Ovis aries: one gene and its partners. The protein of the gene in region 6 purifies or fractionates together with the protein of the main gene of each other region. This does not show direct contact. Links are inferred from orthologs where the notes say so. Each region holds a gene or a part of one and is shown on either strand. Other genes may lie near its edges.

Region 1 (3,500 bases), on a different chromosome or scaffold from region 6:
TTGTACTTATAGTATACCACAGATTTCCCAAAACTAATTTCTAAATACATTTTTGTTTTACCTGTGACTTTACTGAATTCTTCCAGAATGTTTTCTTTAGTCTTATTCTTCGGAATTGATCCAACAAAAAGCCTGTTGTTTGCCACAGAAATGCACACTCCAAGGTGTTTACCAGGGCGAATTTCATAGCTGTCACACTGAAAGGAAGAAAAGAACCAGACACCCCACAACCACCCCAAACTCAGAACAACTGATTTCAGTCTAAAAAACTGGACAATTCAAGGTCAAACACTCCCTGCTTCATGAATTCATCAAGTCCCCTCATGCTTGCCATAATATAAAATGTGTATTTTAAACTTTTACAGCCTCTGTTTTAGTTTGGTTTCATTAACCTTCACTGCTCTATCAAATTAAATGAATCAAAGTTATTCACTCTATCTTTGAAAAGATCTGATTTATTTCAATATTATCAATCTCAAGATTTCTTCCCAGAGAATTTTAGGAAAACTACCTGAAACTGGTAATTCAGAGCCCTTGGAGATGAAATGAGATAGAGACAAGTCTCAGGAAAACAACAAAATGTAAAGAATAACAACTATGTTTAATCAACGCAAAGAAACGGAGAAGAATTTCACCTTTTACATAAAACAGAATTTAAAAAATTTAAACTTCATATTAAACATAATACTTTCAAAATTGTATTAAATCATAGGAATAAAGTGTTTTATTTAAATGGTTATGGTGATGATTTCCTAGGTAAACTTGCGCTTTTTATGCCTTAACATTACTTACCTATTAGTTTATAAAACAAATATGTAATTAAAAAAAAAAATCATCCATATGTTGCCAGAAGCAAGGAAATAAAACTTTAAAAACTTCTCAGTACTAAATAAACAAACTGGAAGGAAAAAGGTCCATAATAAAAACAAAAATCTGGGTCAAGTTAGAAGTAGAACAAATTTAGAAGCAACTAATGAAATGAAAAGCTTTGGTGAAAGGTTACCATTCTAAAAGAACTAAAACTAGACTGAGGCCTTCAGCTGTCTGCCAAGAGTATCCCCAAAAACCAACAACACTGCTATTTTGAGTTACTGAGATGATTGTATCTTAACACAGTAGGAGTGAAGCCATACTTAATTTGTGTACTACTCTGAAATAAGTACAAAGGATAAAAGGCCCTACAGAAAGGAGATTCCTAGAAGACTGGTTATCAAGTAATAGTAAAAGAGAAAGATTAAAAACAAAGAGAACTGGAGAGTTTGGAAACAAAAAGAAAAGAACGAGAATATACTTAGAAAATAAATAAATTGTATGATTAGGTTATGATAAAAACAAGAGAGATTCACAACCATTTCCCAAATTGTGTCCTAAAAGTCAAGGAGCCCAGTTATATTCCCCAGAACCCATAAGAATCTTACTCTAAAGTTTAACAGCAAGAATTGACATTTCTGTCTAAGATCAAAAGGGAGAACTGCAAAAGCCAAATATTCAAATGAAACTTTAGATAGTAACTGCTGTAATAACTTCTTAGAATTATGGGAGACTATCACCTTACTTCTGTGGTATTTTCATTTATTTTTTACTTTCATAATATGAAAAAATAGCCACCAGACACATACTAACTCAGTCAATATAAAAACTCTCAAAACAAAAACTAAAGTAAATGAAACAATGTTAACTGCAAATGTTTTTAATTCAAGTGTTTCTCTCAAATGACTTGCTAGACAATGGGTATTTGTTTTGTTTATCACATACCAGTTTAACAGCTTCCTGTGCAGCTTCCTTTCCACAGAAGGTGATAAATGCATACCCTCTGTTCTGACCAGACAGTGGATCCATCATAAGACGCAGATCCCAAATGGGACCAGCCTTTTCAAAAAGGGGCACCAATTCATCCTCGTATAAATCTCTTGGTATTTTACCTACAAAGACCTGAAATAAAACCTGTATGTTAGAATCCCAATGTAACAAGCATTTGATTTTAGAGCCACAAAACCTAGGTGCCTTTTTTAGGGGGTGGGGACACAAAGATGGTTAAGGAAAAATTGGGGCAAGTTGAATCTTATGAAGTTAATCCTAGTTTTTCATTATAATGACTTTCAGGGCATCAACACAGAACAATAATATTCTATACTGAAAAATGGAAACTGATTAATAGTAAGTGCTCACAATTTGTAGTAATAACTCTTAAATTTTAAACTTTTTAAATTTGTCCTTTTCTCACAAAAAAATAGAATAAAAGGCCTATATAAATCTTCACTGAAATACATCTGCATTTTTTAGAAAAACCATACTTGAATATGGAGAAGGGAATGGCAACCCACTCCAGTATTCTTGCCTGGGGAACTCCATGGACAGAGAAGTCTGGTGGGCTACAGCCTATGGGGTCACAAAGAGTGAGACATGACTAAGCGAGTAACACTTCCACTTTCACTATAGGATAAACATGCCAATTCAATAAAGTTACAATAAAAGTTAAATTAAAAAAAACTGAATAAAAGATCGATGAGGTCTCTTTCAAATTTCTCAACTCTAAAATCTTTACTACTTAAAACTCCCCTGCTTTAATCTTTCTTCATCAGAATTCCTTTCTCTATCAGAATATTACATTTTAAGATATGAAAAAAATTCATCATAATTTGAAGATTTTGTATTCTTAGTTAAAATTACATAGTAAGTAGGATTAAGTCATAATATACAGGAATGCTAAATTAGAATGAAACAATCATAAAGCTTCTCAGTATTTAATATCAGATGACAATTCAAATTTCTACCAAGTCAGCAATACGGAAAATAACCTTTTATGTTAAAACACTCGCAATCCACACACACAGTCTTAAAGAGTAAATTACTGCTTGCATGAGATGAATTTTCTAGTGAAACTCATCTACATCAACATTTCATATCCTGATAATTGATCCGACTGATGAAGTAATGAAGTAAAAACTCAACAATCAGAAAACTAAGATTGTGGCATCCGGTCCCATCACCTCATGGCAAATAGATGGGGAACAACGGAAACTTTTTTTTTCCAGACAGACTATTTTTGGGGGCTCCAAAATCACTGCAGATGGTGACTGCAGCCATGAAATTAAAAGATCCTTGCTCCTTGGAAGAAAAGCTATGACCAACCTAGACAGCATTTATTAAAAAGCAGAGACATTGCTTTTTAATGGTCCATCTAGTCAAAGCTATGGTTTTTCCGGTAGGCATGTTTGGATGTGAGAGTTGGGACTATGAGAAAGCTGACGGCCTTGAACTGTGGTGTTGGAGAAGACTCTTGAGAGTCCCTTGGACTGCAAGGAGATCCAACCAGTCCATCCTAAAGGAGATCAGTCCTGAATATTCATTGGAAGGACTGATACTGAAGCTGAAATTCCAATACTTTGGCCACCTGATGCGAAGAACTGACTCACTGGAAAAGGCCCTGATGCTAGAAAACATTGAAAGCAGGAGAAGGGGACAACAGAGGATGAGATGGTTGGATGGCATCACCGACT
Region 2 (3,500 bases), on a different chromosome or scaffold from region 6:
TTGAGGACAGCCATTAGCATTTTGTAAAGATGGTAAACTGAGTGTTAACTTCTCCCAGCCAGTACCTTTTCCCCTCATTAAATGTTTAAAGTCATCAGGGGGGAGGGGAAGGGAAGAGTTCAACTTCATAATTTTAAGTCAATTGTCAATATACATTTAAGTTTTTAAAACCTAAATGTTCTAAGTGCACAGTAAAGAATAAGCTGTCCAGAAAGCACACACTTAAATTTTCTCCTCTTGGGAGTTTCATAAAGGGATTTTGAACCTTGATGGCGAGAATCCCAAAACAAGAGTAAAATGAATTCTTTTTATTGCAAACAAACGTCTAAATTAATTTCTCCACCCACTTTCTTTAGAAAGAAAAAGAAATCAGCAGGCTAAGGAGATACCCATTCAAGAACTGACATGATTAAAAATTAAGATATAAATGGGTGACTCACAATTTCATTAGCTTACAAAGATGGTGGAGTTAACTACTACAAGCACACTAGTTATACAGTATTTTGTGGGAGAAGGGCATACAGACATAGCTAACTTCATATAGATCCCATTAGACAACTGGATTTACAACAAGTTTTTTTAATAAGAAATGGGCAAAGCCAGCTTTCTTTTCAGAATCAAAATGCAGAACAAATGGAAAAATTATGGTACTTAAACCTTCACAAGTTTGAGCCTCCACAAATAATGCAACCAAGTTTTACATTTTTTAACAGCCCTTCTACATACACTCCATCTTCTCTATCTTCGTTCCAAATTTTATCTTCATTCCCAAATATGCCAATTCCATCGTTACTTAAAAAGAAAGAGCCTTCCCAGTTACCGTCAAAAACTACTATTTAGCTTACCCCTCCACTACTCAGCAAACTACAGAGAGGATGGAGTGTAATATGAGCAGTACAGAGTCTTATGCAATTCATGAGGACCACTAAGTCCTTACATGAATCTGGTTGCTAACATTTCTATTATATTGTGACAATGACTCCCGACTGTTATCTCTGTGAGAAATGGGGGGGAGTAAATTCTTAATAAAAGACACCAGGTACAAAGCAACATTTTACTTTTGTTGTGATAAAAAAAAAGTCACATTTTACAGATAAAATGTAGAACCCTGAAATACTGACACATTCTCTTATCGTGCACAATGCTGAGGTTCTCTTACGATTCACTTTAAAACTGCAATTAAAAATGTACAAAAAAGAAAAGAAAAAAAATCAACCCACAAAGCTTCTAAAAAAGGAACCCGCAGGCACTTCCTCTTGTGGAATGTTTAAAAAGTTAGCCTACTAAAGAAAACAGTCGACTTCTTGTGAAGGTTTTGGAGAAATATGTATCAGTTCGTTTTATTTGGGTATTCAATAATATCCTTGGTGATAATGCTGACTCCATGGCTTCTGACCCCAGAATTGCTGTAAGAGAAAATTTTTTTTTTAAAGAAAAAACATCAATAAGCCACTCAAATTGCTTTTAGGAAATGACAATCTAATTCAGAGTAATTGCTGGAAACAAATTTATACCTGTCATTCCTCTGATTTATCAAGCCAGATTTAGTTAGTATTAACATCCCATTATCAATACACATTACAAAAGGAAACACATTACGACTTCGGTTAGTTTATACAATTAAAGCTATCAGTAAAAAAAAAAAACGTATGAATTAAATATTACTTTATTAAAAAATATTAAGTTACAGCAAACTCCAACCTATCTCGCCTTCAAAAGATAGTATACAGCTACAACTGCAATACAGCTCACAGCTTGCCCTGTAATACTTATTTATAAACACTTCGATCCCTAGACAAGATCTTTTTTTAAGATTGATTCTTATGAATTCAAAATACAATTAAATGTACATAAAAGCACATAAGGAATTACTTACACCCTGCTGCCACTGGTTGTAGCCCTGAGATTGATTTTTGTAGCCACGATTGTTTCCTCGTCCTCTGAAGTTCTACAAAAAAGAAAAAAAATCTTTAAAGAACTCAGAACACAAGTTGCTAGGTTTATCTAAGGGGCAGAGGGAAAAGAGGGGACACAGCTGCAGAAATGGATGGATGGGCGGTCAACCATGAACCTCTGAGCACTCTGCTGGGTTTCCTTTCAGGTGATTAACTTATTCACTAAGAGACATCACACCTGACTTGCTCCTACTAGCAGTTAACGCACCTAAAAATAATTATGCATATACACTGTATTCTTAACTGAGGCTGCCCATCATATTTAACCTTTTACACTAAATTATATAGAGAATCAGCGTCTGCAGAGATCTTAAATGGTTACCTGGTTGTAGTTCCCTCTGTTAGGCATTCCCCCTCTGTTGTAGTTCCCTCTGTTTGAGTAGCCGCCGCGGCTGGGAAAGACAGGGCCGCGAGGGTACGGATAGCCAATGCCACCGCTGCCACCACCGCCACCTCCTCTCTGTGGCATACTGCCCCTCCTGTTGTATCCACCACGATTCCCAGGAGCTAGAAAACAAGAAACATCTCATTTAGTAGTGTGTTGCTGCCTTCTTTACATGAGACTTAGGGTTCTTTTGGACCATTCCTTCATTTCAGGAGAAAAATGTTTAACCATTCAACATAACCTAGACATGCTTACTAAGACAGCTCAGATAATGCACATCAAAAGCTTCCTATGTTAAATTCAGCTAAGTAACATATAGACCCAAACTGGAAGTGTACCATTTGTTTCAACCTTGGACCAAATAATACTCAACATAACTTGCCTCCTCCTCTGAAATTTCCACCGCGCATATTGAATCCGCCACGTCCTCTATGGCCACCGCCTCTGTTAAACTGGTTCTTGCCGCTCTTATTTTTATTGCTCTTCTTTGAGCCTGTGTTCTGTTTCTTTTCCGGTGGAAGAGCCTTTTTGCTTTCTTCTTTATATTGCTCCAAAAGTTTCTGGGCTTCTTCCTTCTGAAGTTCAACATAGGTTATTTCATCAAAGCACTCAGCTACTTCTGGCAGAGTAAAGTTTCCTGCAAAACATAAAATCATATTAACCTACAAACCCACTACATACACATTCACAACCCTAAAGCCCAATACTCTCAATCAGCTGTTAATTCTTACAAAACACACAACACCTAGTCATATTGTAATTACATTTTCTTACAAACACAAGTTAAATATATGTTCATTTACAGTTAATTTAACTCTTGAAAGTTATTACTGACATTAAGCTAACAGATACAAATCACAGGATATTTAAGGTAATAGAACTTCATGCCTTTCATTTTGAGGACTGCATGTTCTGGTAGGTCTTTTCCCTCTACTTCTGCTTTCTTCTGTGTTCTTTGCTTATAGTCTTCATCTTTTGGGCAAACTACAACAGCTTTTCGTTGGAAGCCTGCAAAGAGGCACATTTTTCTCCTCTGGGCAGCAGCAGACACATTTGTCTTTCAGAAAAAGAGAAAAAAAAAAAAGTTTTTAACCTCAAACATTAATTCTACAATTATCAGTTTTTTCAACTTCAAAGTTACAGCTTACCTGATCCAAAAT
Region 3 (3,500 bases), on a different chromosome or scaffold from region 6:
CACACAGCATTTCTGTATAGTAAGTTAACACTTTAAAACCAAATGCAGTTAAGTGATTTTTGATGGGGAGATTGAAAAATATTTTTGAATGACAAATTTTAATGACTGTATATTAGATACTATTATTTTAACACATTTTTGTGTGTGACTTATAGCTATGTTCTTAAAAGATACATGAAGCATACTAATGTAAAATGTCATAACACCTGCAACTGAATCACAAATGATTCAACAAAAGTATGTGTGTAATATATATATGTATCAAAGCAAGTGTCACAAAATGCTGACAATCATTGAAACCTAAGTTAACAGAGTTCACTGTACTACTGTTCTGCCTTTTCTACAGGTATCAAAAATTTTGAGAGTAAAAGGCAGTGGGCAAAGAAAATTTTTAAAGGTGAAAAAAAATGAGGCAATTAGAACACTTTAAAGATTAAACTCTGACGCTTTTCATTCGAAGCAGCAGCAATTTAAGCCCTCATCATTTTTCCTGTAGAGATGGCAAAGCAGTTGGGCCTGTCGCTTTTTTTCCTGTCATGGGACCTATCCTGGACTCCATATGTACTTCCAAGGTCTCTATCTTTAGCATGCACTGGTGTAACATATCATTAACACTCTTTCTCTGAATGTGTTAACCAGAACTAAACTTCATTTAGAATGTGTATATAATTTTAACTTAAATAACAAGGCCTCCATAAACTAAATGTAGAGTAAGATTACTGTCTCTTCTGCTTAGTTCAAAGAAAGTTACTGTGGTACCCACCGTGTAGTGCCAATCATAAGGTTGATACCAGCAGCTGAGGGCCGAGAGATCTGGCGGATTGTGTTCAGCATACGTTCATTAACAGGATCCAACTGGCTGATGATACCAGGCTGTTTGGTTACTTCAACAACCAGAGCCTCCATGGCTGCTCGAAGAGCAGTGATACAGGCAGCAGCTTCATGAGATATTTGCAATCTTATCCTAAATTAGGGAAAAATGATTAAAAATGAGAGGAGGTACACACAGAAAAAGACTATTATCTCCCAATTTCACCCATGGCAAGTGATGGGATAAATTTAACTTCTTTTCCAAATGTAATGGCCCTAGATTTAGCAAACACAGGTATGAAGAGTAACAATAAGTTAAACCAACTTCTTAAACTTCACTGCTAGCTACTGGCAGGAGTTGTGAACCATGAAGTCTACCAAGTGAAGTACGCTTAGCCATACAGATCACTTCAGCCTCCAATAAAAGAATGAAATGAGAGACTACTAACCATTAAGTTCTGTCCAATTCTGCCAAGTGCTTACTACACAGACACCACTTGTCTCTAAGCAATATGGAGTGTACATAAAAAAAGAGGCATCCAAATTCCAATTAGATTTTAACTCCTCAGTATGGTATTCACGGTGGTGGATGGGGCTCCAATGAGTAATGCAGCAGCCCCCAACCTTTTTGGCACCAGGAATCGATTTTTGTGGAAGAAACTTCTTCCAGACTGGGGTGGTGGTGGGGATGGTTTGGGATGATTCAAGTGCATTACATTTACTGTGCACTGAATTTCTATTACTACCACATCAGCTCCGCCTCAGGTCATCAGGCCTTAGACCCCAGAGGGTGGGCACCCCTGATTTACTGCATCTGCCTCTACAAGTATAATCAATTTGAGACTTCACTATCAGCTACAAATCGTAAGCCTAGGATATACTCCTCTAAGAAAAGACAGTGTTACACAACACATTGTTTATGCCATCGAATTCTGCCATATTTCACAAATAGATTAGCAGCTGAATTCCAGTACATTTCAATTCTAAGAATTCAGGTGAGTTCACATCTGAAAATCCATACCAGTCGTCTACAACCACAAGCTGTCCATCAGACATAACTTTCTTGGAGGCAAAAAGCAGCAGCTGCAAGGGGGTGACTAAGGTCATGCCTTTAGCAGAGATGGCCCGAGTTCGAATCTGAAGATAAAGAGGCAAGAGGAAAAAGTTGACATTCCAACTGTCAATCAACTACCATATAATAATAATGAACTAAAACCCATGTCCCCACTACACATTAATAAAGTAATCTGGATTTTAAATGTAGAAGTTTTCTAAACCTCCCTTTTCTTACCTTTTCACCAAATACAAAGAAGGGAGATGGGTACTTCATGTCTTGGCTGCTAAAAGGACAATTAACAGATGACTTGTGGATAAGTGCATTACGCCCTTCAGTGGTGAGAATCTTTCTCTTTTCCTTATGGTAACACACATTGGGGTACACACCAAAGGCCAGGAGAGAGATAACAACATCCAGATTATTGTCTGGTCCAGTGTTAGTAAACACTTGTGTCAGTAAACACTCTGTAAAGAGGAAGGAGAGTAAAAAAAAAAAATCAAGTATCTGGCTAATTCTAACATTGAATTTACCAAAATTAAATGACAATTATAAGAATTAACTCCTCCCTCATTCTCTTTTTCAAATAACCCATCTCACTGCCTCTGTTCTTAGCATTCTCGCACTCAGATTAATGCAAGGAGAAATTTTGCTGAGTCTTCACAATTTTAGTAAAATTAAAACATCTGTTTTCTTTTGTAGACACAACTAAGCTTGAAGTACTTAAAAACAAATGCCCCAATTAACCATCTCCTCTCAGATTAGAGCTAGACCGGTATGACCAGTATTTCACCTGCTGCTCTTAAAAAGCTGTTCCTTCTACAGAAGATGACCAAGAGGAACACACTAGAAAAACGCTGCTGTTTTCACCCAAAAAATGCTTTGTGCCCAGGCCATCACATGGAAAATATGATGGTAAGAGTGTGGATAAACTTTGTTCCAAAAAGCCTGTATACCAGTCTTATAAACTTCTGAACTGAATGAATGTGGACAAGTAATTTAAACCTCTGGCCAGCTGCCTAACCTGTAAAATGGAGGTCATATCTGCATCTCAGGAATTTTGTAAAGAGTCTATCATACAAAAATGTCCTATTTTCCTTTGATTTTTGAAAGTACAAATTTAGTCAGTTTACAACAGAAGAAAAATGTTTAGTTATTTAGATATGGCCCAGAAGGTAGTCCTTCTCTCTCTCAACTAGCTATTTCTGGTTATGTGTTCCAACTCTCAATATTTCAGAAAATTAACTCTGTCTCAATCTAGCTGGAGAAGTACAATTGTTCAAATTCACACAAGAAATGAACAGTTGGATTACTATTCCTATATCAGATATCAAAGTCCTCTATGATTAGCTATCCATTAAAACTTACTCAAAGCCAATTAAAATTTAATGCAATAGAGTTTACTTCACACCTAAGAATGAACAGATCAGCAAATTAACACATCACTTCAGAAACCACTACCTGAAGTAAATTCAACAAACTGCTCATTCTAGAAGTGCAAAAAGCTAGGCCTGTTTTTTTACAAAGTAAATGGATCAGAAATAAAAACACACCCTTCCACCTAAAAAAAGACAGTGATGTGTAACTGACTCATTTTGCTGTACAGCAGAGCCTAACACAACACTGTAAATCAACT
Region 4 (3,635 bases), on a different chromosome or scaffold from region 6:
AGAAGGAAATTCACATTTTAACACACTATACTCATGACTTTGTACACTGCACAAAACATCCAACATTAAGAATTCAATAAACTGACCAACATCTACAATATCACTTCCTATTGTCTATTTAACACAAACATTTGTTTCAGAGACTAGAGTACATAGAATGTCTAAGTAAAAAAAAAAAAGATCTGCTAAAAATTTGGTAACAAAATAAATAATCAGTCTTATAGAATGAACTTTATGATGAAAACTATCATTATTCTGTCTTTGGGGATCCAATTCTGAGTTAAAAACAACATACTCTATCCCACTAGATCAGATCCTAACTAACCTAACAAAGTGCTACAGTATGTCCTTTAAAACCTAAGAGCAGCCCCTGTGGAAAGACACTGAATATGGAGTCACAGTACGCTTACAATTTAAGGAAACAAAAAAAGCCCCACACTTGGGAAGAAAAGAAGCCATACTTAGACTAGAACAAAAATATTAAAGTGCTGTGGCCAAAATTAGTATAAATAGACTTTATTGAAGTCAGTGCCTCTGTACCGAGACAGAAGATTGTGTCTACATAAGCACAAGTTGTAACATTTCACAACTTCTAAAAGGAATGTCAACAATTACAACGATCATGCATACCATGGTCGATAATCACATTTTAGAAGCATTTTCAACCATTTCTAAAGAAATGCTTATAACATTGTTATATATAGAACTACTTTCAATAAACTGCAAAACATTGATCGACTTTTCCAGTATGAGCTACAGTGTCAACACAAAAGGGAGGCATAAATGTTTAATTTATGAAATCAGAATGGAATATTTACTGTAAAGAAAAATTAAAAAGCTTTCAAATAAAGGCCATTATTGAACCAACATGAAGAGCACAACTTGAACTTTTCAGTTCGTTCATCTTTTAAAGCTGTCCTCTGAATAACTTCAGTTCTAAGCATTGAATTTCAGTACTGTGAATATTCCTTGGATTGCAGTTTGGCAATGATGCGGTCCAACTGTCTCTTTGCTTCACACTGTGGGAAATTGCTCATGTCATAATATTGAGGGGCAATTTTCACCAACCTGTCCAGAAGGAGGGGAAAAATCACCAAATTAACAATTAGAGTACTGGAGCTTCTGATAGGATAGGCATTATTCACTGACACACTGACAAATGCAAATAATAAGTCCAAGCCAACGGTAAAATTACAAATGCCTAATCGTTATCAACACCACTTTTAGAAATGTGTGCTTCTTAGTATGCTGCAGATTTTCTGATGGTGGACTTTTCATAAACTTAAAAAACGAAACAAAAAACCACTCAAATTCTTGTAAAAAAAAAATACTCCTTTCTTTTACATAGACATTAACATAAGGTCATAAGTTTCTTCACTCTGGAACACTTTTGATCTATCTCTTTAAAATTACAATATTACAAGTTCCATACAACAAACAGGCTGATATTCAAATGACTGGATCGTCTCATTTTCTAAGTTTTAATAACCATAAATGTAACTCTATACCCCAAAGAATAAACCTGACTGAATCTTTTTAAACATTTAGCCATGTAATTTTCTTCTCAATAAAGCATTTAAGATACAATGGTAATGTCCTATACAATTTAAGTGTCAAAAGTCACGAATCAGTGGAGGAAAGAAGCCTCAAAATATACAGCAAGTGACATCAACTAAAGTAAGTGCTTTCAGTCCCACCATTCTTGGCTGCCATTTCCATCTTAAGTTACAGAATAGATTCTGGCCCCTAAAAAAAGTCACAAAGGGGGACTGCAGTGGGTGGGTAATTTTGCTTAAAGTCAGTCAGTTCTGATCACATTTTGTGAATCAAATATGCAATGATACAAAAAGAGGTGCAGTTTTTAATGCTTGCTTTGCTTTTAAAGCGCCAACATAGAAATAAACAATAACTGAGAGCTGAAACACAAAGATTGACTACTGCAACCTGGAGATCAAGTTAATCACAACAGCAAGAGAATGGCTTCAAAGATACTCTTCATGTTAGTCAAGTTTAACTTGGTGTCTCCAAATTGCCCATGCCCATGCTAACAATTCTACCATCCTCTTTACAAAGCAATTATTCTTAACAGATAATCACACACCATTTTGTGCCCCAAATCTATACACAGGAGTATACACCCTAGCTGGGGAACACCCGAGTTCCCCAGAGTGAACAGAAGAACAAGACAAGACTCTCTTCAGATTCCATTCTCAGCAAAATGGTAACGAAAACTTTTAGAATGAAAGACACTGAGCTTACCATTCAGGCTTGATGTCTGTACACGTCCGGATGTAATTCTTTGTTGTAAGAACAAACTCATTATAAAGCACCCATTCAGGCTTGTGGTCAAGAACAGTAGAGGGATGCAACTGAACCACTTGGTTATCTTTCACAGTTAAGTAATGCCCTGTTCGTTCTAAATGTGCCACCTGAAACCGAAACCCAGTAAATTAATCCAATGCTTCTGACATGCTAGTTACAAAAGTGATATAAAGCCTATATATCTATACCTATATAATCAGGGAAAGGCAAGCCTCACCTAGTACTTTTAATCTGATGGCTAGACTTATTTAGCACTGCCTAATAAAAGCAGCAATCAGCAAACTACAGCAGGCTAAATTCAACTCACTGCCTACATCTTTAAGGCCTCTTAGCCAAGAACAGTTTATACACCTTTAAATGACTGGGGGAAAATATCAAAACAGAAACACTTGGTGATGCTGGAACGGAAATCACATGAAATTCAAAATGGTAAGTAAAGTTTTTTGAAACATAGTATGCCCATTTGTCCAAAGTTGCTTTTGCACAACAAGGGGAGGCAGAGTTGAACGGTTTCAGAAAGGGACCTAAATCTGGTCCCATCACTCAATGGGAAGAGATGCAGAAACAGTGTCAGACTTTATTTTGCGGGGCTCCAAAATCACTGCAGATGGTGATTGCAGCCATGAAATTAAAAGACGCTTACTCCTGGAAGGAAAGTTATAACCAACCTAGACAGCAGATTCAAAAGCAGAGACATTACTTTGCCAACAAAGTCCGTCTAAGTCAAGGCTATGGTTTTCCTGTGGTCATGTATGGATGTGTGAGAGTTGGACTGTGAAGAAAGCTGAGCACCGAAGAATTGATGCTTTTGAACTGTGGTGTTGGAGAAGACTCTTGAGAGTCCCCTGGACTGCATGGAGATCCAACCAGTCCATTCTGAAGGAGATCAGCCCTGGGTGTTCTTTGGAAGGAATGATGCTAAAGCTGAAACTCCAGTACTTTGGCCACCTCATGTGAAGAGTTGACTCATTGGAAGAGACTCTGATGCTGGGAGGGATTGGGGGCAGGAGGAGAAGGGGACGACCGAGGATGAGATGGCTGGATGGCATCACCAACTCGATGATGTGAGTCTGAGTCAACTCCAGGAGATGGTGATGGACAGGGAGGTCTGGCATGCTGCGATTCAGGGGGTCGCCAAGAGTCGGACACGACTGAGCGACTGAACTGAACATATAATAGTAAATAAACTCAATTTCACTCAATAAATATTTACTAAGCACCTACTAGGTGGCAGGCACTACACTTTGAAAGTCCCATTTCTAATGGATTTTGGTTTTAAGAGAGAATTAGAAATCCATAATGCTTGAGTAACA
Region 5 (3,500 bases), on a different chromosome or scaffold from region 6:
TGTGGGGACTCAAGTTACATGCAGACCTTAAGAAAAGGGGCCTGTGTCTTTCCCAGACCTGCCTAGGGTTTTCTCTGGGCAGGCGACCCAGAACAGGGTTTGGAGTGAGGCTGGCTGTGAGCACTTACCTGATATTTTGCAAAAGTTTGGATTTGGTGTTAATTATTTTGCTTGTCTTTCTCAGCCTCTTAACTAACGGCTCCTCTTTCCTTGTTTTTTTGTTTTTTTGTTTTTGTTTTTTCTTCTATGTCATTTAAGGCCCTCGGGACCAAGGATCACGTCATGACTCTGGTAAGTCCGCAGGTGGCAGGAAAGAAAGGCAAAAGTGGTAGCAGGACTTTCCTTGGATGTTGTTCAAACTTAAGGGAATCTGAAGAAGAGCGGGGCTAGAGAAGAGCGGGGAAGAGCGTTTAGTTAGGAGTAGCTGTGTTGAATAGTGTATTTAACAAGAAAGACACAGGGACGCACTTAGTGTATGTGTTGTTTTGATGATGTTTGTATAGGGCTTCCCTGGTGGGAATGCTGCGTTTTAGTGTAAAATTAGTTTCTTTGGGGGTCTTCAACTGAAAGTTGACAAACACTGGTGTGGTCTTGGGCAGTTAAATCCTGAGCCCTGGATTCTTTTACGAATTTCAACATATTTTAAGGGGTAGTTGTAAACCTAAATTTTAATTGGTGAAGCGGCTAGCATACAGGCACTCATAATGAAGTAGAGTTGGAGATTTGTCGGACCTACAGCACCAGTGCTTTATATTAATTGGTTTAGAAATTTTCTTTCTTGGAAAGCTAACTATCAAGTATCAAAGTTCAGGTTACTAAGTGTCACTGACTTATTTTATCTCTGGTTGTTTTCTGTCTCCATGTTTCCTGCTGTGTTGGGCAAGCAGAACAGGATAATTCAGACAACAACACCATCTTCGTGCAAGGGCTGGGCGAGAATGTTACAATTGAGTCTGTAGCTGATTACTTCAAGCAGATTGGTATCATTAAGGTACTTATGGGAACTTCTCTGGCAGGCCAGTGGCTAGGACTCCTCGCATCTACTGCAAGGGCACGGGTTTGATTCCTCATTGGGGAACTAAGATCCCCCCGGCCCCAATAAAGAGTGGCTATGTCCCCCCCAGCCCCGAAAGGTACTTCTGGGGCAGAGTGGATACATTCTATTAGTGCTGCAGGCTTTGGGATTTCATACCTTAGTGAAAATAGAAATCTTAATGGTTGCCTGCTTCATTTGTTGAGGAAAAAGCATTAACTGTTGCCATTCCAAAGGGAATCATTTTAACACAAAAAGGTACAATTGATTAAAAAGATGATTAAAACTTTTGAATTGTAGTCTATAATCTTTGTCATTTAATATTGAAGGGAGAAGCAGTTAACAGTCGATGGCTTTCTTTCAAGTTATGTATGAAATAGGAAGGTATGGTTTTGATAGTGCTGTATTCTCTGATAGACTGATGTGATCTCATGTTGCTTTCTTCAGACAAATAAGAAAACAGGACAGCCCATGATTAATCTGTACACAGACAGGGAAACAGGCAAGCTGAAGGGAGAGGCCACCGTATCATTTGATGATCCACCTTCCGCCAAAGCAGCTATTGACTGGTTTGATGGTATGTCTGAGGAGGCTGGGGGAGAGGGCAGCTAGCTTGGGGAAACAGGCTGCATTTTGAGGGTTTCTTTGAGTCTTCCAAGACTTAACAGCACTACCCTGTTGGTGTAGTCTTATATTTGGTTATGTTTCGTGAGATTGTAAACATTTGTAAGAAGGCAGAGTCTTCTCTTGATTGTACCAGGTATACTTTGGGACCCACAGGTCATAGGTCTTAATTAGAAGTCTCTTTTATACCTCCTTTATTTCTTATAGGTAAAGAATTCTCTGGGAATCCTATCAAGGTCTCATTTGCTACTCGGCGAGCAGACTTCAATCGGGGTGGTGGCAATGGTCGTGGAGGCCGAGGGCGAGGAGGTAAGGAGCTCTTTGTGTTGCTGTAAAGAAGTGATGGGGAGAGAAGAGGGAAGGAGGATGGTAAGGGCTTGTGTGGGAAAGACAGGTTAACCACACTTGGAAGGTGAGCAGACCTGTTCTTCGCTCTGTTCTAGGACCTATGGGCCGTGGAGGCTATGGAGGTGGTGGCAGCGGCGGCGGTGGCCGAGGAGGATTCCCCAGTGGCGGTGGCGGTGGCGGAGGACAGCAGCGAGCAGGGGACTGGAAGTGTCCTAATCCGTGAGTGAAACTGCTTAATTTTTTTCTCAGCCCTCTTGTACATGTGCCCTTTGATGTTAAGTTATGTGCCAAGTTGTTGCTTCAGTCCTGTCTGACTCTGCAACCCCAAGGACTGTGGATTGCCATTCCCTTCCCCAGGGGGTTTTCCCAACCTGGGGATCAAACCCAAGCCTCTTATGTCTCCTGTGTTGGCAGGCAGGTTCTTTACCCACTAGCACCACCTTGACCTTAGGACAGAGCTTGTAGTTCTGCTAATGTCAGGGATAGGCGTGGTTGGGAATCATCTAGACTGGGCTCAGTAACCTGCAGTCTTTGTCTCTGCTCCTGAGAAACGGGCCTCTTTGCTTTTCCGAGGCCTCATTTTCCTCACGTATCCCTGGGGTCACTGGAATTTTCATAATTCTAGGTCTTGGCCATTTCCACCCCCCTCCTACACACATTAATTGTCTTATTTTTCCTTAGTACCTGTGAAAACATGAACTTCTCTTGGAGGAATGAATGTAACCAGTGTAAGGCCCCTAAACCAGATGGCCCAGGAGGGGGACCAGGAGGCTCTCATATGGGTAAGGAAGAGGCAGAGCTGGTGTTGGGATCTGCAAGGAGGCTAGACAGGGGGAGGGAGGAGGGGTCTGGGGGATGTGATAGAGGGTTGAATCATGTTTCTTTATTTCCTAGGGGGTAACTACGGAGATGATCGTCGTGGTGGCAGAGGAGGCTATGATCGGGGTGGCTACCGAGGCCGAGGAGGGGACCGTGGGGGCTTCCGAGGGGGCCGGGGTGGTGGGGACAGAGGTGGTTTCGGCCCTGGCAAGATGGACTCCAGGTAAGTAAGACTAAATTGAAAGGGAACTAGAGCAGTTGACCAGAGGTCATGGGATTGCAGGGTTTGGGGAGCGTGGTTTCATTTTGAGGGCGGGGTTGGGAAGCTGAGACTTGGGTAGGAGACAAGGGAAGGAGACTTACCTGGGGGAGCTAGTCTGGATGCCCATGTGCACTCCGTGCCCAGGGAGACGAGCTGTCTCTCGGGGTGGGTAGCAGGGCAGGTTGGGTTTTGGGGGTGGATGGGTAGAGAGGTTGGAACCCAGACCTCATGGATGCTCTTTCTTGCAGGGGTGAGCACAGACAGGATCGCAGGGAGAGGCCGTACTAGCCTGGCTCCCGAGGCCTTGGAGCAGCTTTCTTCCTGTACCCAGTGTTACTGCCCTCATTATTTTGTAACCTTCCACCTCCTGATCACCCACGGGTTTTTTGTGTCGGACTATGTAACTGTAACCAT
Region 6 (3,984 bases):
TCATCAAGGACAAGGTAGGTGGTTCTTCTTAGATTGGTTTTCCCACATTCTAAAAAGTCTATCAGTCTTCCAGGTGTTGCAATACAGATTTCCACACCTTTAATTAAACACACAAAAGTTACCATGACATCCAGAACTTCCTGCATGATCAGTGACAAATAAAACCTTTTTGGTTACATACCTCTCTCCAAATCACGTATTTGTGGTCCCTTGGGAGCACCACCATAAATGCAAGTAGACTTCAAGCGACATGCTCTACAGTATTCAGCAGCTACTTGCTGCACCTGTTGGGCCAGTTCCCGAGTAGGTGCCAGCACCAAGCACTAAGGAAAGAGAAAGTGGAACACCTTTAGGAGACCCCTGAATTCTAGTTTTGAAGTGCTAATTTACTGTTGCTACACTAGCAGATGATATACATTGTCAATACCCAAAGCAGCTTTGTCCCTTCCTACACTGAAAAACATAACCTTCCATATAAAACCACCAGAATTTTCTTTTGCTGTATATTCTACAAATCTCTACGCTGTTAACCAAGTTAAGAGAATACAATGTACACTTACAATAGGCCCATCACCTCTCTCTAGGAATGGTTGATGATTGATGTGGACAATGGCAGGCAGCAAATACTATACAAAAGAAAAGCAAACAAAAAAAGCCATATTAAAAACACTTCTGGTTTCTTTTAATTCCCAACCCATTTTTCTTCAGGACCTGTCACCTAACTCAAAGTTTCCCAAACTTACAGACAAAGTCTTCCCAGATCCAGTTTGTGCTACCCCAACCATATCCAATCCACTCAGAGCAACCGGCCATCCCTGAGCTTGAATAGCTGTGGGTTCAGTGAAGTTCTGCCTTGCAATCACATCCATGACATTTGCTGTAATGTTAAGAATTAAGTAAACGTCAATAATGCCATGAGAAAGGGATTTTTTTTTTTAAGGTGGGGAAAACTAGCACTTACCAGGGAAGTTTGCCTCATAAAAATTCAGGACTGGCTTTGGGCAGTTATGACCTCTAACTGTAATTTCCTTGCTTCTTCTGTATGTCTCCACCTCTTGCTACAAAAGAAATTTATAAAATTCAGTTATCTCACGAGGACTCCCCCTAACTAAACACACGACCAACACACCCCTAAGTTAATAATTATCAACATTAACATTCCTTTAAGTTTGCAAGACATTTCTAGTCAAACTTAAATGTCACTGAGTTACAAGCTGAAAAAACCACATGAAATTACTCACTGCTGTACGCCTAGCCAAATCGGGGTGTTCTTGATAAAAATTCTTCTCAAACTTGGGCAGCTCATCAAGATTCCACTTCTTTTTAACCAGTTTCTCTCCAGGGTTTCCAAACTTCTTTCCAGATAAGGGCCCTGCCCTACTACCTCCAAATCGAGGAGCACCAAACCTAAAATTTGAGGGGAAAAAAAATTGCATTTTCAAACATGTACAGACTTATTTTACCATCCCTGCGCACATGCTAAAACTCAATGAAAGATTCTGGAGATGCAAGTGCTGTCCTCAGTGATGGTCATTCTTTCAAAAGCCAGTTAGTACTACATCTCCCTCATTTCCCGTTACACGAAGTACACACCATTGAAAACAAATCAACAGCCCGGGATTTACTAGGTTGGAAACTGGCTGGCCAAGCTCTAGGAGTTCAGATACAAGGACAAACAACAGCTGGTGGATACTACTCTTTCACACAAGCGAAAGAATTAAATGCCAAAAAAAAATAAAGCAGAAGCTTAACACAGATGTTACTTAGCACCTGTCCTGAACCAAGAGCTCTGATTTTAATAGGTAGCGGAACAACACAGGTAAGTGAGTGCAGAACACGGCGGGTGGCTCGGGGACAGTTAGGCAAGCCAATCGAGTTGGGGGGATCCCTCAAAACGGTTTCCTACCAAGGTAGCAAAATTATATAACGAAAGGAAAACGAGGAGGAGGAGCCGGAGACTACCGGGGGAGGAGTCCCGGCCCGGGCGGAGTCCTTCGGGCGGCGTTCCCGCTGGGGCGGCGCTTCCCCCTTTGTCTCGCATTTCTCTCTGCGCCACATTTTCTCGACGCTGCCATTTTGAGCTCCTCCGCCGGGCGGGGTAACAAAGGCGCCGCCGCCATGTCCGCCGCCGGCATTTTGTACCCACGGCTCGGCCACATGGCCGATTCCCGCGGCACCGGCCACCCTCCAACCCTCGCCGCATTAACGGCTTCGGAGGCGGCCCCCTCGGCACCCACAGAACCCCCAGATTCCTTAAAATTCCTGTAAGCTTACACCTAATAGTGGCGACTTCGCCTCAAAGCGCTGCGCTTTCCTCCCCTCAAAAAATGTGCTCGAAATTCTCCGAACAGTTGCCAAATCATCAAGGCCCCGATACCCCCTCCAAAACAAAAAAGAATCTTGAGGACCGTTAACATGAAAAGTCCAGGTTTGGACAAATAACAAAATGGCGCAAGCCCTTTTCGATGGCGGAGGCCCGAGAATAGTCTTTAGAAGCCGAGTTGCCCCCGCCACCCCACCCCCGCAACCCTCATCGGTCTCCCATCCCCCACCCGCCGGGCCTGACAGGTCGGTTCCCACACTCACCCTCGATCCCGGCCACGGTCTCGGTCACTCGAATAACCCGACATGGCGTCAATGGTTGCGGTTGGCGGGAAGCGAAGCGGAGAGAATCGGGTGCGACGAGTCGCTGGAGGTGGCTCCGGCGACGGCAAAGCCTTGCGGGGGCGGCAGCGGCGGAGGGACGACGATGACAGAAGCCAAGGCTGCCCAACAAGAGACCGGTGGAAATGAATGAGGTGCCGGCCGCGTCCCGGCAGCCGGTTTTATAGCCTGGCCCGCCTCCTCCGCCGCAGAGAATGCTGGGAGCCGCTCTATGACCTAATCACTCCGCCCCTGCGCAGAGCTATTAACGCCTGCCGGCGTTCCGGGATCCGCCATTTTCTCGCCCCTCCCCCCGGGCCCTTTGCCGACTTTTCGCCCCTTTCAAGGATAGGACCCGCCCCCACCCCGCGGTCCTCCACTGGGATGCCTAAGCCTGCACTCTCTTGACTTCACCTTTTTCTGGTCTTTCACACTTCAGGGAAACCACTGCGCCCTTTTCCAGGTCTAGCCCAGACAATAAAATGTCCAGCCCAGGTCAACTCCCTCGGTCCCCTTGAAGATGTTTACGTCTCCAAAGAGCCTTTACACCCATTACTAGGGGCGACAGGAAGGCGGAGCCTGACATTGTCACGTGGCTGCCCCGCCCGCCGAGTGAGCGGGACGCACTACTTCCCCAGTTGGCGTCGGCGGAGGAGTACAAGACGAAATAGCTCACCGGAAGTGCCGTGCTAATGCCCTCGGGAAATCGGCCGGGGCTGTTGGGCGACCCGAACTGTCAAACCCACCCACCCCAGGACCCCTGAGCGGGGTCTGGCTGGTGAAAAATGGTATCTAGAGTTCGCAAACCGCCACCTCGGCACGTGCCGCCAAAGGAAGTACTCCCGCGGTGACCAATCAGCAGCGAGAAGCCGTTTTAACGTCCCTCCCTCCTTCACCGCACCCCTTCCCGGCACTTTCGTTTGCTTCCTCTCCTGTCAGCCCTGGGTCTGCGCCGTGCGGCCCTTTCAGGACGCCGTCCCGCGCGCGCCCGGCTAGGAGTCCGGCGGCGACTTGCCTCCGCGACATGGCCGGCTCAGAGGCTGGTGAGTCTCTGCGTGGAGCCCCGTTTGTGTGTGGGCTCAAGTACCTTTTCAGTCCAAGTCCTGAACGCCCCTCCCCATCTTATCTTGAGGCTTCGGGTGGGTGTGGGCTGCCGGCGGGGCTCGTGAGACAACCCGGTCGTAGTTGGCGGGTTCTCTGGCTGGGGCTTCTTAGTCCCGCTCCCTGGCGCATTCGAAGTTGTCGAGCCTGATTTGGGGCGGGGAGACAAGGGCCCTGCGGCGAGGCCCGCAGCACGCGAGCATGGTGGCTGTAAATGATCAGAAAGTGTCTTTCCCTAGA
Region 7 (4,077 bases), on a different chromosome or scaffold from region 6:
GCACAAGCCGGAATCAAGACTGCCGGGAGAAATATCAATAACCTCAGATATGCAGATGACACCACCCTTATGGCAGAAAGCAGAGAGGAACTAAAGAGCCTCTTGATGAAAGTGAAAGAGAAGAGTGAAAAAGCTGGCTTAAAACTCAACATTCAAAAAACTAAGATCATGGCATCCAGTCCCATCACTTCATGGCAAACAGATGGGCAAACAGTGGAAACAGTGACAGACTTTACTTTTTTGGGCTCTAAAATCACTGCAGATGCTGACTGCAGCCATGAAATCAAAAGACACTTGCTCCCTGGAAGAAAAGCTATGATCAACCTAGACAACATATTAAAAAGCAGAGACATTACTTTGTCAACTAAGGTCTATCTAGTCAAAGCTACAGCTTTTCCAGCAGTCATATATGGATGTGAGAGTTGGACTATAAAGAAAGCTGAGCACCGAAGTACTGATGCTTTTGAACTGTGGTGTTGGAGAAGACTCTTGAGAGTCCCTTGGACTGCAAGGAGATCCAACCAATCCATCCTAAAGGAAATACATCCCGAATATTCATTGGAAGGACTGATGCTGAAGCTGAAACTCCAATACTTTTGCCACCTGATGGGAAGAACTGACTCACTGGAAAAGACCCTGATGCTGGGAAAGACTGAAGGTGGGAGAAGAAGGGGATGATAGAGGATGAGATGGTTGGATGGCATCACACACTCGATGGACATGAGATTTTGAGCAAGCTCTGGGAATTGGTGATGGACAGAGAAGCTTGGCATGCTGCAGTCCGTGGAGTCACAAAGAGTTGTACACAACTGAGTAACTGAACTGAATGATTATCATTCAGTTCAAGACCCTCATGATAAACCTGGGGCCTAGACAGCCCATCCTGAGACCACAAGCTACTCAGAGCCAAAAGAATCAAGCTCAAACTCCATGCTTGGCATTTAAGGCCCTCTGCAATCTGGACCCAACTTCTTCCAGGCTAATCCTCCATTAACTTCCCCATGAAGTGCCTATCATCCTGCGTGCGTGCTAAGTCATTTCAGTCATATCCACTCTTTGCAACCCTACGGATTGTGGCCCAACAGGCTCCCCTGTCCATGGGATTCTCCAGGCAAGAACACTGGAGTGGATTGCCAGGCCCTCCTCCAGGGGACCTTCCCAACTCAGAAATCGAACCCTCCTCTCATTATGTCTCCTGCACTGGCAGGCAAGTTCTTTATCTCTAGGGCCACCTGGGAAGCTCTCCTATCATCCTAGGTGTTTCCAGTTCCTAACATATGAAGTACTATCATCCAGCTTATTCTTTACTTCTGGTCTTCTAAAACCCCTCCCTGTGACTTTGCCCATTAAGTTTTTAACCCATCTACCCATGTCAAACGCCACATCTTCTGTGCTGCCTATCTTGGTTCCCTTTAGGAAGTAATCCCATTCCCTCAAGACTTCCATTGCTCTTAGTCTGTACTTACTTCTTTTACAGCACTTACCAGAGACTGCCTCATATAATAATCATGTGTGTACATGTCTTAACTCCTCCACTAGGTTATTAGCTCCTTGATGAATTGGGTTGACCCATAATCATTTCTGTATCCTTCACAGCCCCTGGCAGAACATCCTGCACACAGTAGGTGATCAGTAAGTGTTTACTGGCTCACCAGTGATATATGTTTCTATGTTGCTACTGGACATTTCCCTACTGAATATATCCACAACAGGTTTGCATTACCAAAACCAGACAAAAAGCAGACCTTTTCACTGATTCATGCAACATTTAATGAGCCTAGACAGGTGGGGCATGGGCACAGGCCCTGATCAAACATGAGTAAGGCACATAGTAAGCAGGGCTCCTGAAGCCCAGAATCCATATGCAGATACAGATTTTTTTTTTTAATTACATAATGTGATAAACACAAGAAAAGAGGTATGCAGAGTCCAGGGGAAACACAAAGGAGTGTACTGAATCTAGAGGTGGACAAGAGTCAGGATCACCACTACTCCTGTATCGTGTGTTCACTGTTGTTGAACATTCACTATTAGATCCTCATGGATATTTCTAGAAACAGAATATCTGAAAACATTGATTATGAAACTGACCTATTAAAGGCACAGTCAGGCTGTGTGGTGGATGTGAACTTCAATTCAAAAGTCAAGGAACTCACTGCAACTGGAAAAGTAATTATTTTCGGCGTCTGCCTCCTCTTAAGTTGCTGTTTGGAAGCAGGGAAAGTGAGGGAGTCGTTTTGCATAGTTAACGTGCAGGAACATCACTCTTTGCAGAAAGAGTTGAAATGTGGGACTACATTTCTGTTAACGCGCTCTTCCACCACCTGAATTCCCAGCCCGGTTACTTATGTCTGGATGATTCGTAATTGCGTGCTTCCCTGTTTACATCTCCCGCCAGATAGTGAGCCCCACGGTGTAAACTTACAGTCTCACTCCCTGCCCGAGATCCCGGCGGCCCCAGGCCTGGACCACCACATGCGCGCCACAATGAATGAAAGGTCTCATTTTTCACTACTATTTATTTACAGGGTACGGGCCTAGGGTCCCTTTCCTTTGCCCTTCGCTGCAGATCTGAAGAGGAGCTGCCGGATCCTAACTCCCAGACGCCTCTCACCCCAGCCCCAGACGCCAGCCCCGTTGAAATTCGGATACTTGGAAACACTCCCTCTTCCAACACCCACAAGCTGACCCTTTTACCTAGAAAAGCTCTCGGGCTGCGAGGTCGCCGTTAGAGTAAAGCCAGAGTTATAGTGTAGCCTCCAAGACCGTAGTACCGCCCGCGGCTCCGGAACAGGAAAGCACAGGAATTAAAAAGCAAACCTGAGAAAGCCGGACTGCAAGAGGGAAAGCGCTCGGGAATCGCCGCAGCGCCTTGTGCACGGTGATTGGTGCTTCAATAAGAACGATGGACATCTAAGCCAATCGGTCTCCTCGAGTCTCTGGCGCCCGCCTCCTGCCCCTTACCTCCTCCAATCCGAAACCACAACCGGGTGAGCGCGCGTTTACTCCCGGGAGAGGAGGCGGGCCGCAGCTCAGGCTCTTGAGGGAACCTTGGCTCCGGATTTTTGGGACTCTGACGCGCGCGAAAACATGAGTGAATCGGGGGGACAGCGCGCCCGGCTCCGGCGCTATCCTGAGCTCCCGGTGTGGGTGGTGGAGGATCATCAGGAGGTGAGTGGGCAGCTGACGGGTGCTGGGCAGGGTCGCGCGAGGACTGAGGCGGCGGCGGAGCCTGGAGGCCAGAGAGAGAACCAGAATCCGAGCGAGTTGCGGTGCTGTGGGGAAAACAGCAGGACAGCGAGCTTTAACGTCAGCGCTTACTACGAGTCCGGCAACTCACTGAACCCTCGCGGTTTGCCCAAAATCCCACGGCCAACAATTAGTGGCTTCGGGATTCGAACGTGGACAGTCGTAACTGCAGTAACTCGAGTCCTTAACCTGCTCATAACAAAGGCTTCCTGCTGTCTCCCGGCCTCCCCTTCACAATTCTGTGGTGTCGGTGGGAGGCTTCTGTTGAGAATATGCACTGTCATCTGTGAAATGGGTACAGAGTAGCTCTCAGAGCCGTTAGTATTATTGTGTGAGTAGTGTGTGTATGAATCTTTTAACACGGCGCTATAAAGATATTTTTCTGTTTTTGTAGTAGTGCTACTTTATAATAGCTAAAATGGTGCCCACATCTAGATTTCTGGAAGCCTGCGAGAGTCCCGTGATCGAAGACTTTCTGTTTTTGATAGCTTTAATAATCCTTAGGAATTCTGTGGATGTTAAAGAGGAAGAGGCCGATTCCAGATGTGCGGATGAATAAAGATAATAGGAAGGAAATTTGGTTTCTCAGGACCTAGAGATAATGTGCATGGGGTAGGTGGTGCTTTCAGATTCAATCTTAACTTAGAACTCCAGAGACTGTAACGGAACAAAGAGCCTTAGAGAGGACCTAGCCCAGCAACCAGCATCCAAAAGGTGTGAGAAAGACGCAGAGACCCAGGGTAGCTTGAACACACCTTTTACACCAGAGTGTGATTTAACAAGCAGTTGTTTTTGCTTTTCTTTCCTTGAGTACTGGAGCTTGTCTGT

The links.
Region 1: the proteins of DDX5 (region 6) and HNRNPR fractionate together in Homo sapiens (co-fractionation; 3 studies listed by BioGRID and IntAct, with this or other methods). This does not show direct contact. The link is inferred for Ovis aries from reciprocal best matches to the Homo sapiens genes DDX5 and HNRNPR.
Region 2: the proteins of DDX5 (region 6) and HNRNPU purify together in Homo sapiens (affinity purification with mass spectrometry; 3 studies listed by BioGRID and IntAct, with this or other methods). This does not show direct contact. The link is inferred for Ovis aries from reciprocal best matches to the Homo sapiens genes DDX5 and HNRNPU.
Region 3: the proteins of DDX5 (region 6) and DHX9 fractionate together in Homo sapiens (co-fractionation; 3 studies listed by BioGRID and IntAct, with this or other methods). This does not show direct contact. The link is inferred for Ovis aries from reciprocal best matches to the Homo sapiens genes DDX5 and DHX9.
Region 4: the proteins of DDX5 (region 6) and DHX15 fractionate together in Homo sapiens (co-fractionation; 3 studies listed by BioGRID). This does not show direct contact. The link is inferred for Ovis aries from reciprocal best matches to the Homo sapiens genes DDX5 and DHX15.
Region 5: the proteins of DDX5 (region 6) and FUS purify together in Homo sapiens (affinity purification with mass spectrometry; 5 studies listed by BioGRID and IntAct, with this or other methods). This does not show direct contact. The link is inferred for Ovis aries from reciprocal best matches to the Homo sapiens genes DDX5 and FUS.
Region 7: the proteins of DDX5 (region 6) and DROSHA purify together in Homo sapiens (co-immunoprecipitation; 4 studies listed by BioGRID and IntAct, with this or other methods). This does not show direct contact. The link is inferred for Ovis aries from reciprocal best matches to the Homo sapiens genes DDX5 and DROSHA.

Annotation. Positions count from the first base shown.
Region 1 is NC_056055.1:243,258,384-243,261,883, reverse strand, and holds part of HNRNPR (heterogeneous nuclear ribonucleoprotein R), read right to left. Parts: intron 1,933-3,500; coding exon 1,756-1,932; intron 198-1,755; coding exon 63-197; coding exon of another isoform or gene 62-62; intron 1-61. UniProt on the Homo sapiens protein: Component of ribonucleosomes, which are complexes of at least 20 other different heterogeneous nuclear ribonucleoproteins (hnRNP). hnRNP play an important role in processing of precursor mRNA in the nucleus.
Region 2 is NC_056065.1:31,694,709-31,698,208, reverse strand, and holds part of HNRNPU (heterogeneous nuclear ribonucleoprotein U), read right to left. Parts: coding exon 3,489-3,500; intron 3,398-3,488; coding exon 3,229-3,397; intron 2,978-3,228; coding exon 2,723-2,977; intron 2,463-2,722; coding exon 2,278-2,462; intron 1,949-2,277; coding exon 1,877-1,948; intron 1,407-1,876; coding exon 1,353-1,406; 3' UTR 1-1,352. UniProt on the Homo sapiens protein: DNA- and RNA-binding protein involved in several cellular processes such as nuclear chromatin organization, telomere-length regulation, transcription, mRNA alternative splicing and stability, Xist-mediated transcriptional silencing and mitotic cell progression.
Region 3 is NC_056065.1:63,382,973-63,386,472, reverse strand, and holds part of DHX9 (ATP-dependent RNA helicase A), read right to left. Parts: intron 2,332-3,500; coding exon 2,102-2,331; intron 1,948-2,101; coding exon 1,832-1,947; intron 965-1,831; coding exon 764-964; intron 1-763. UniProt on the Homo sapiens protein: Multifunctional ATP-dependent nucleic acid helicase that unwinds DNA and RNA in a 3' to 5' direction and that plays important roles in many processes, such as DNA replication, transcriptional activation, post-transcriptional RNA regulation, mRNA translation and RNA-mediated gene silencing.
Region 4 is NC_056059.1:44,702,366-44,706,000, forward strand, and holds the end of DHX15 (ATP-dependent RNA helicase DHX15), read right to left. Parts: intron 2,430-3,635; coding exon 2,260-2,429; intron 1,069-2,259; coding exon 951-1,068; 3' UTR 501-950; downstream 1-500.
Region 5 is NC_056077.1:27,789,342-27,792,841, forward strand, and holds part of FUS (RNA-binding protein FUS), read left to right. Parts: intron 1-258; coding exon 259-291; intron 292-887; coding exon 888-991; intron 992-1,480; coding exon 1,481-1,610; intron 1,611-1,864; coding exon 1,865-1,966; intron 1,967-2,100; coding exon 2,101-2,224; intron 2,225-2,686; coding exon 2,687-2,787; intron 2,788-2,899; coding exon 2,900-3,047; intron 3,048-3,334; coding exon 3,335-3,374; 3' UTR 3,375-3,500. UniProt on the Homo sapiens protein: DNA/RNA-binding protein that plays a role in various cellular processes such as transcription regulation, RNA splicing, RNA transport, DNA repair and damage response. Binds to ssRNA containing the consensus sequence 5'-AGGUAA-3'.
Region 6 is NC_056064.1:48,409,333-48,413,316, forward strand, and holds the start of DDX5 (probable ATP-dependent RNA helicase DDX5), read right to left. Parts: upstream 2,801-3,984; 5' UTR 2,631-2,800; coding exon 2,587-2,630; intron 1,408-2,586; coding exon 1,242-1,407; intron 1,059-1,241; coding exon 962-1,058; intron 878-961; coding exon 744-877; intron 627-743; coding exon 561-626; intron 324-560; coding exon 182-323; intron 98-181; coding exon 1-97. Other genes in the region: CEP95 (centrosomal protein of 95 kDa), read left to right, coding at 3,668-3,686. UniProt on the Homo sapiens protein: Involved in the alternative regulation of pre-mRNA splicing; its RNA helicase activity is necessary for increasing tau exon 10 inclusion and occurs in a RBM4-dependent manner. Binds to the tau pre-mRNA in the stem-loop region downstream of exon 10.
Region 7 is NC_056069.1:42,131,419-42,135,495, reverse strand, and holds the start of DROSHA (ribonuclease 3), read right to left. Parts: upstream 2,801-4,077; 5' UTR 2,698-2,800; intron 1-2,697. Other genes in the region: C16H5orf22 (UPF0489 protein C5orf22 homolog), read left to right, coding at 3,091-3,171. UniProt on the Homo sapiens protein: Ribonuclease III double-stranded (ds) RNA-specific endoribonuclease that is involved in the initial step of microRNA (miRNA) biogenesis.